2 linked regions of the Tamandua tetradactyla genome follow. The protein of the gene in region 2 purifies or fractionates together with the protein of the main gene of each other region. This does not show direct contact. Links are inferred from orthologs where the notes say so. Each region holds a gene or a part of one and is shown on either strand. Other genes may lie near its edges. The genes, in order: MPHOSPH6 and EXOSC7.

Region 1 (3,914 bases), on a different chromosome or scaffold from region 2:
GACTGAGACTCTGAATAGCAGACCATTTCTCTTATTCAGTCTAGATTTGTCTTATTTTACGAGTCTCCTTTTCTTGGATGCTTCTTTAGCATTATTTCATCACTCTTATTTCAGGCAGTGAAATGCACCAATCCTGGCCAACTGCCACTTTATCTTCTGTTTTTAGTCAGTAGGCATTCTTTATGGTATAATATACAGGATTTCTCATTCTCTTTCAAAAATATGGAAAGGATAGAGCACTCTTAAATACAAATCAAGAAACTCCAGACTTTGGTTACAATTTAATTCTTCCTACTCTACAGCATCTGAGAACACACTCTGAAAGTTAGAGATGACCTACAGCAGGGGTCACAAACTATAGCCACCAGTTTTTGTAAATAAAGCATTACTGGAATATAGCCATGTGCTTATGGTTCTCAGTACAATGGCAGAACTGAGTAGTTGCAGGAAAGATAGTACAACCTGCAAGCTGTACTTCAAGGGCCAACCCCTATGAAGTTTGTAGATTCTTAAGGGCAAAACAGTTAAAATCACAAAGTAAAAGCCCTCTCTACAACCAAATCATCATACTGACAGACCTTCCAACAACATCCTTCATTTTCAACTTCCCAACAGGCTCTCTCCTCACCTCGCAATAGCTGACAGAGTTAGAGTTTTCAAGCACTGTTTGTTGTTCAAACAAGGATTAAAACTTCAATTCTCTTATTCCTGTTCTGTACTTGGCACTGGCTGAACTATACTGTATATAGTAGCCTAAGTCTATAGCTGCTCCATTCATTCTCACAGGACATTCCACTCCCATGTGTTTAGTGTCTCCTGCTAATCCTGTAAATTCCTTCCTGCTAATCCTGTAAATTCCTTCGGACCATAAACTGAACTTGCTAACCCAAACTGAGAACATTTTATTCATTCTCCTTCTTCTTTTTTTGTTTCACATTTGCTTCCAACATTCAGCTAAGTCTCCAACCCCAATCATTAGGGTGAGGGTGGGCATTTTTTTTTTTTTGGCAATTGTTTTTTAAAGTTAATTTCTTCCTTCCTAGTTCCAGAATCAGCTTTTCTGTCTGGAACCTAAAATCACTCAGCACATATCCATTTGGCTTATTACAAGAGGGAAAATAACAGCTAAAATCTTTTCAATCCCCTGCTGTGGATGCATGTCACTTCTCTGAAGTCTACATGATTACAAACCATTAAACAAGAAGAAAATTCTACTCACTAAAATTTCAAATTTTGCTAATATGCCTGAAAGCAGTACATCAGAACAAAATAATTCTACAATTTACCCTCTACCCTCACCCACCCTATTCATCCCTAGTTGCATCCTCCCCTAGTCATACCCTCACTCCAGCTCCATTTGAATCTTGTACACACAATGCTTACTCTCTGATCTTTTAAACATTACTTATTTCTTATTTTCCTTTTGCTAGAAATTCCACCAGACCCTCTAAACATTTAACAGTTTGCATATCTCTATAAGTAGTGTTCACCAATAGGCAGTGTAGTCATTATGAAGTGGGGTTCTAGAACGAAATTTGTCTGTGTTAAGAGTCCTGTCTGCACTACTTCTTAGCCTGTGTATTTGGCAAGCTACTTCTGTTTCAATTGCTTCAGCTGAAAAAAAAAGATAATAACCATAGTTAACTCAGAGTTATTACAGGGATTAAATGGGTTACTACATGCAAAATACCCAGAACAAGTTTTTGTTTTACGATTTGGCTGTTTTCCTTGTCTTAATTCCTATATACATTATATTTACCCTTGTCTCCCCTCACCTCCTCTTCACTTCGAAACTATAGAGTTAAACTGCTTCCAATCTCAAATACAAAAACAATTTTTCTTAAAATTCGGTGAGATAACAATTCACTTGCACCTCAACTATAATAGTTCTCTCCATTCGCACCTTACTCAGGGCATCATCTACCCTCACTGGGATCATCAGAACTTCTAACTGGCTTACTGACTTCAATTTTGTTCATGATACGGCCTTCCTTCCACCAAAGCATTCTCCACTGAAGAGTCAAAACTAACATTAAAGTAAATAAAAGTACAATGCACAGCAAATGACTGACCCTGGTGCTCGACAGCTTTTCGCTGCTCTTAAGATAAAGGTAACAATCCTTCGTTTGGCCCCAAATGCCCTGCACCCTGTGACCACTGTCTACTTTTCCAACCTCATTTCCTGCTACTTTCTTTCCAGTCATACTAAATTGTTTTCAGTTCTTGAAAATCTCCATGCTTGTTTTATTTTTTTTTTTTCTTTTAACAGCTTTTTAGACTGTAACACGCCCTTCACTCAGCTGACGCTCCTATGTTCCCCATATGGCCCCTGCCACAACTTATCCTTCAGCCTCAGCCTAAGGGCTAGTTTCCGCGAGATGCTTTCTTTGAAGCTGAGTCCAGGTGAGGTCCCAGAGCTCCGCGCTCCACCACGAGTGCTCCCGGCACGCTGTATTCTAACCACTCGTGTACGTGTCCCCGCTCCTAGTTCATAACCCGGTATGCCTAATACGGAGACGGCTCAAAATGAAAGAATGAACGCGAAAGTTGGAGGCCCTCCGGGCCCTCTCTGGTGCCCCTGTGCGCCCGCCGCTTCGGCCCCAGCCTGGCCCGGAAGACCGGCTGCCCCACCGCCCCGCCCGGCCCAGCCCGGCCCGTGCCACCGCACCTTCATGCGCAGCAGATTCTTGGACAACTTGCTCTTCTGCTCGGCCGCCATGCCAACCTCCCATCCGGCGCCGCGTTCCAGCCTTCAGCCCTGCCGCGCATGCGTGCTGCTGCGTGCGTCGTGGCGTCATACGTGACGCTAGATCGCCTGCCCCGTGGCCCCGGCCCGCTGCCTCAGCTGGGCTTGGCGCCCGAGGGAGCTGACGAGGCTGCTGTGGGCTGCCGACGCGGAGTTCTAGTGGACTTAGCGCCCGTAGAGAGACCCCAGATCAGAGTAGACCGAGAGCTGATGGCCACCTTCTCCGCCAGCTTCCCGTCCCTGGTCCCCCAGGCGCGCGTGGAGTGTGTGCCTCTCGGGGGCCCCGCTTCAGGCATTCCAGTGAGCATTTGCGATTGTTGCCAGACCTGCCTTCTCATCTGGATCGCGGCTTCTTACGTAATAATTCAGTTCGTATTCACAGTAGCCCCGCGTGGCGGTTCTCTCATCCTCGCCTTGTTGCAGTTGTGTAAAATATAGGGCACTTCCTTAATGAGCCCAAATTAAGAATGAAGGAGGGGGCCTGTAAATCCAGGCAGTCTGGTTCAGCAGGACTCTTAACCACCAAGCTACAAATCGGTGAAAAACCATGTTACATTCACCTATTAACTGCGTCTTTGTGCTTAAGTGATCTCTTTGTTATCTAAGAAGGATGTCCTGTCCCAATCCAGCACAACCCAAAGACCAGAGACCACCCTTGGCAGAGAGTTAGGCTTGGGTTTATTGGGATTTACTAACAGGAGATCTGTCCACACGGTGGCCGTCTGGAAAGTGAAAGTCTGTGCTCCCTAAGGGGCCTGGAGTGCAAGGGGTCAGCTTATAAGGGTTTAAAACAGAGACATTCTATAGGGCTTGAGACCAGAGTTCGGCAGGGTTGTGACACAGGGGTCTGGAGTCTTATCATCAGTAGTGGTCAAGGAAGGGGAGTTTTAATCCTTTGTTTATGATATCATCTATACTCCCCTGCACCACCTCCCCGGGAGGTTTAATGACCTCTTACTTCTGTCTGGGTCATTGTAGGCTGCTCCCTGTAGTCACTGATTCTCAATATGGAAGAGGTGGGGCAGGGCCCTGTGTCTCCGCAATCCATTCCCACTCAGCAAACCAGGTTGACCACAGCACAGATATTGCATCCATGTTCCACAGCAAAAGTGTAACAGACACAGAATAGGTGTCCCCCATACAGAGATAACCCCACAAAGAGATGCTG
Region 2 (3,914 bases):
AAAAGAGTGGGTATGCACCTAAAAAAGAGTGGGCGAGCATACTGGTCTTCAAAGGCTAATTGGGGCCTTAAGAGAAAGCAATCAAATCATATATCAAAATAGTGATTTATCAAACTTTCCTTTTGCCCTACCCTCACCTCCTCAGATCCATTTTGTCTTTCTCTGCCCTAATCTGTGTACTAGTAGGTTAACCCCTTCCAAAATGTATCACCCAGACTCCCTAGATGCCTTCTTGTTGGGTTTGGTCGAAGGGCTCCCTAGGCCTTAGGGATATCATACAAACAAATCAACAGATGATTACACATCAAGACCCATGATGGGAGACTGGCTGAGGCTCTATGACCCTATGATGTGGTTTCTGCCCAACTCTGTAAGCCAATCTTCCACCATTACTCCCAGCTCATTCCTGTGGCTCCATGCTTCCTCCACCTGAGGTACTGGGGACTCACCATCCCACCCCCTGGAATGTTTATGCTACTGCCTAACTGGCAGTCACCCTGAAAGCTCAGCTCAAAAGCCATTTCTTCAGGGAAATCTGAAGAGACTAGATGAGTTCTCAGGTTTTTCCTTCATAGCACTCAATACAATTTTTAATGAAACATAAACACACAACTAGATTTGAAATTTCTTTATCTTACTTCTAGCATGTGAACAATATAAGGGCAAGCTCCTTCCTATCTCCCAAGTCAGGTTAAGCTATGTGTTAAATGAAAGAATAAATACTGAGTGCTGTAGAAACATATCTGCCATGGATTTAGGGAAGCAAATCCTCTGTCTTAAGGATGTCTTCCAGAGCACTACAGCCTCCAGTAATCTTCAGTTCCTTTTTTGACTTACACTCCCTCGGTATGTATCTTATGGCATATACCTTATATGCCATTGTCTATACGTTATTCATTTTTCCTGTCTTACCTATCTTTCATTTATGCATTTCACAAATATTTTAGTGCCCCTACTGCTTCTCACATAATATGCCACAGGCTGGATATTCAATAATGAAAAATAAACAACTAATTTTGCCCAAACTAGATCCTGAGCATCTCAAGGGCCAGAAACATAGCTTGTATTTTTTTTTACTTCTTCACAGCACTGAGCACATAATAGATGTGTAATAAAATGGGTCCTTAATATACTGCCGGATAGCTAATGAGTTGCCATTGGAACTTAGGACATGATCTGTCTAGCCTTGGGAGGTAACAGACAAGGAACCTATGTCCCTTGGTCCCACTGTCAGAAATGGAATGTGAGAAAAAATGGACTGCACAGTGAAATCAATATTTCATGACTGTGGTAGCAAAGAAAGAAATAAAAAGGATTTTACATTTAGAGGCAAATTGTTATCCTTAATGCCTCCCCAAGAAGCATCTCTGAGAATAAAAATCACATGAAGAATGGCACAAAATTAAGACAGAAGGATAAATTTAATAGCTCTGTGAGGATTTATATATCCCGCCCCCAAACAAATAACACACACATATCCCACTATTTCTGATCTGAAGCATAAACTTAAAAGCACATGGAACTGTTGACTCTATTATTCAGATTTAATATGTAACCTGTAAGCCAAATGTTGACATTTCTTCATCTATAACAACCGAGGATAACAGCACGGCACAATTTCAAAAAGATCATGAGCTTTATTCACCGTTGTGGACCTTTAACGATAGCTGATCATAGCTGATCGCTTAACCTGATGGCCACACCACGGGACCATTAACTTTGTAGTAGCAGGCCTCGGCTCAGGAAGGGAAGGGGAAGGGGCTGACACCAGAACTCTGCAAAGAGTGGGATGAAGAACTTGGACGGGAGGGCTGCACAGTGACATAACAAATGGGGAAACAGCCAAAGTGGGAACTGAGGTGGCTCATTACCAAGTCCAAAGTCCTCCAGTCCTCTGGAGTGGTCAAAAGCAGGTGTTGATGAATGAACACAGAAGATGCCTGGTTCTAACTGTTTCTAGGGATTTTAGCTCTCCACTGGCAAAATGGGAAACAGCAACAATTATGCTATCGATTTAAAGAGCCGCTTTATAAACCTAAATATTCCTCCCCTTTATTCGCAAGACACTTATATTTTCAAAGCGCATTCACCTAGGGTGCACGCTCTCTCTGTGCCTCCCAACTACTAGGTGAGGAAAAGTGGGCCAGGAACCCCCCACTGTGGAGGGCCAGGAGCAATCAATCAGGCCCAAGCAGGGAAAGTCCCCACAACATTGGGGCAGAATGTCCCCAAGAGTTTAACAATAACCAATGTTAGGAAACTGAGAGAACAGGATATGTTTTGGCAACAGCTAACGGCATTTTTCTGCTTCTGTGATATGCCTGCCTGCTAGCAACTGCAAAACCACAACAAGATTTTAGCCTTTATAAGCACACCTTGAAAACCCCCGGGTGCTGCTCTCTCAATCTTCCTCCTTGGAAGTTTCTGAGGCAGTCGCTGGCTGGCTAATAAAGACTCCAAATTCGCTTGCAGTTTCGAATTATGCGGTCTCTCTTTCAGTGTGCTCCACAACACCCACCCCCACGTATCCATTTCCTATAGGAGAAATCTAAGGCCCAGTCACGGAAAGTGACATGCGAAGGCCAAAGAGATGGTCCCGGGAGTAGTGCTCCTTCACTAAAAGCAAGTCTCCGGGAGCGCCCACCGGTTCCCACCTGGGCTCAGAACCATGTAGACCTGAAAACCGGCAAGAACGCAAACAGTCCTAAACGGATCACCAGTCCTAAAAAAGCCTACGTTGCAGGCTCTAGGTTGCAAAGACCGGCCGCAGAGCCACTTAATGACAAGGTAAGCCAAACCCGCGGCAGCTGAGTTAATCTCCTTCCGGGTAGGCCAACGGAACCTGGCGGCCGTCCCCCGACGCCACTACTGCAGATACCTGGACGCCATGCACAACATACACCTTCTCTGCCTCACTCAACGACACGAACGCCATGCTGCCGACTGCACTGCGCGAGATACGTCACCAGCCCGCGCCAACTCCGCGCGGATCGCACCCTCCCCGCGCTTTTGCGTCATCAACCTGCGCGGCGGCCCCTCCTGCAGCCGCTGCTGCCGCCGCCGTAGCTGCCGGGAGCTCGATGGGCTTCACCTGCGCGCTGTCCGGTAACTGGCGGAGTCCAGGGAGCTGTGGCACTTCGAGGCGTGGAGCCATCGCCGCAGCCCGTAAAAGAGTCCCGGGTGTGGGACTCCAGGGAGAGGCGACGGCGGCGACGGACGGAACCCCCCGGGGGCCTGGGACTGGGAAACTGCCACCGGCTTCACGGTCAGTTGGGAGGGGGCGGGGGTTGGAGTGAAGAAGCTGGGATGAGGCGAGGGCGCGGGCAGGGACCAGGAGACTCGCAGTGGGAGAGGCGCACGGCGTGGTTGGCCCAGAGCTGGAGTTGAAGTAGCAGGTTGTGTGTGTGAGAGAGAGAGACAGACCCCTAGTCTGGAAAGCTGGGCGTCGTAATTGGCCCGGGGCTGTCTCCTTGCTGTCCTTTCCTTTCTCCCCATCCTCAGTTCCATTTCCCCGGCCCCTAGAATGGTTAAGAGGCAATGAATCCTTCTTTAGATGGTTCTCAGTGGGTAGGGTTGATAGTGGAAGACATTAGTCCTGAGAGATCCTCACTCTATCTCACCATCACCCCCACGGGGACAGAATGCTAACCTAGAACTTTGCAGGGTCCCCTTGCTCTGGGCGATCGCCAAACCATTGTCTCATAGAGAGTAGTGGGGAGGCAACCCGCGCTGGCAAAGGAAGCAGTGCCAGGATGCCCCCTGCACTTCCCAGTGGGGATTGAAAGCCTCAAATTGATGGAGTTGATAGCTAGGAGCTGTGGACAGCTGCCCGGGAGGGTACGGGTGGGAGCCAGCCCCGTGTGGCCGAGTCAGAGTATGGGCCTTGGATATCCAGAGGATACCTGCAAGGTGAA

What was found.
Region 1: the proteins of EXOSC7 (region 2) and MPHOSPH6 purify together in Homo sapiens (affinity purification with mass spectrometry; 4 studies listed by BioGRID and IntAct, counting the BioPlex papers as one, with this or other methods). This does not show direct contact. The link is inferred for Tamandua tetradactyla from reciprocal best matches to the Homo sapiens genes EXOSC7 and MPHOSPH6.

What each region holds. Positions count from the first base shown.
Region 1 is NC_135342.1:76,860,009-76,863,922, forward strand, and holds the start of MPHOSPH6 (M-phase phosphoprotein 6), read right to left. Parts: upstream 2,768-3,914; 5' UTR 2,720-2,767; coding exon 2,669-2,719; intron 1,839-2,668; exon of another isoform or gene 1,341-1,838; intron 1-1,340. Other genes in the region: uncharacterized protein LOC143659822, read left to right, coding at 2,768-3,103. UniProt on the Homo sapiens protein: RNA-binding protein that associates with the RNA exosome complex. Involved in the 3'-processing of the 7S pre-RNA to the mature 5.8S rRNA and play a role in recruiting the RNA exosome complex to pre-rRNA; this function may include C1D.
Region 2 is NC_135341.1:41,897,115-41,901,028, forward strand, and holds the start of EXOSC7 (exosome complex component RRP42), read right to left. Parts: upstream 2,987-3,914; 5' UTR 2,936-2,986; coding exon 2,879-2,935; intron 1-2,878. UniProt on the Homo sapiens protein: Non-catalytic component of the RNA exosome complex which has 3'->5' exoribonuclease activity and participates in a multitude of cellular RNA processing and degradation events.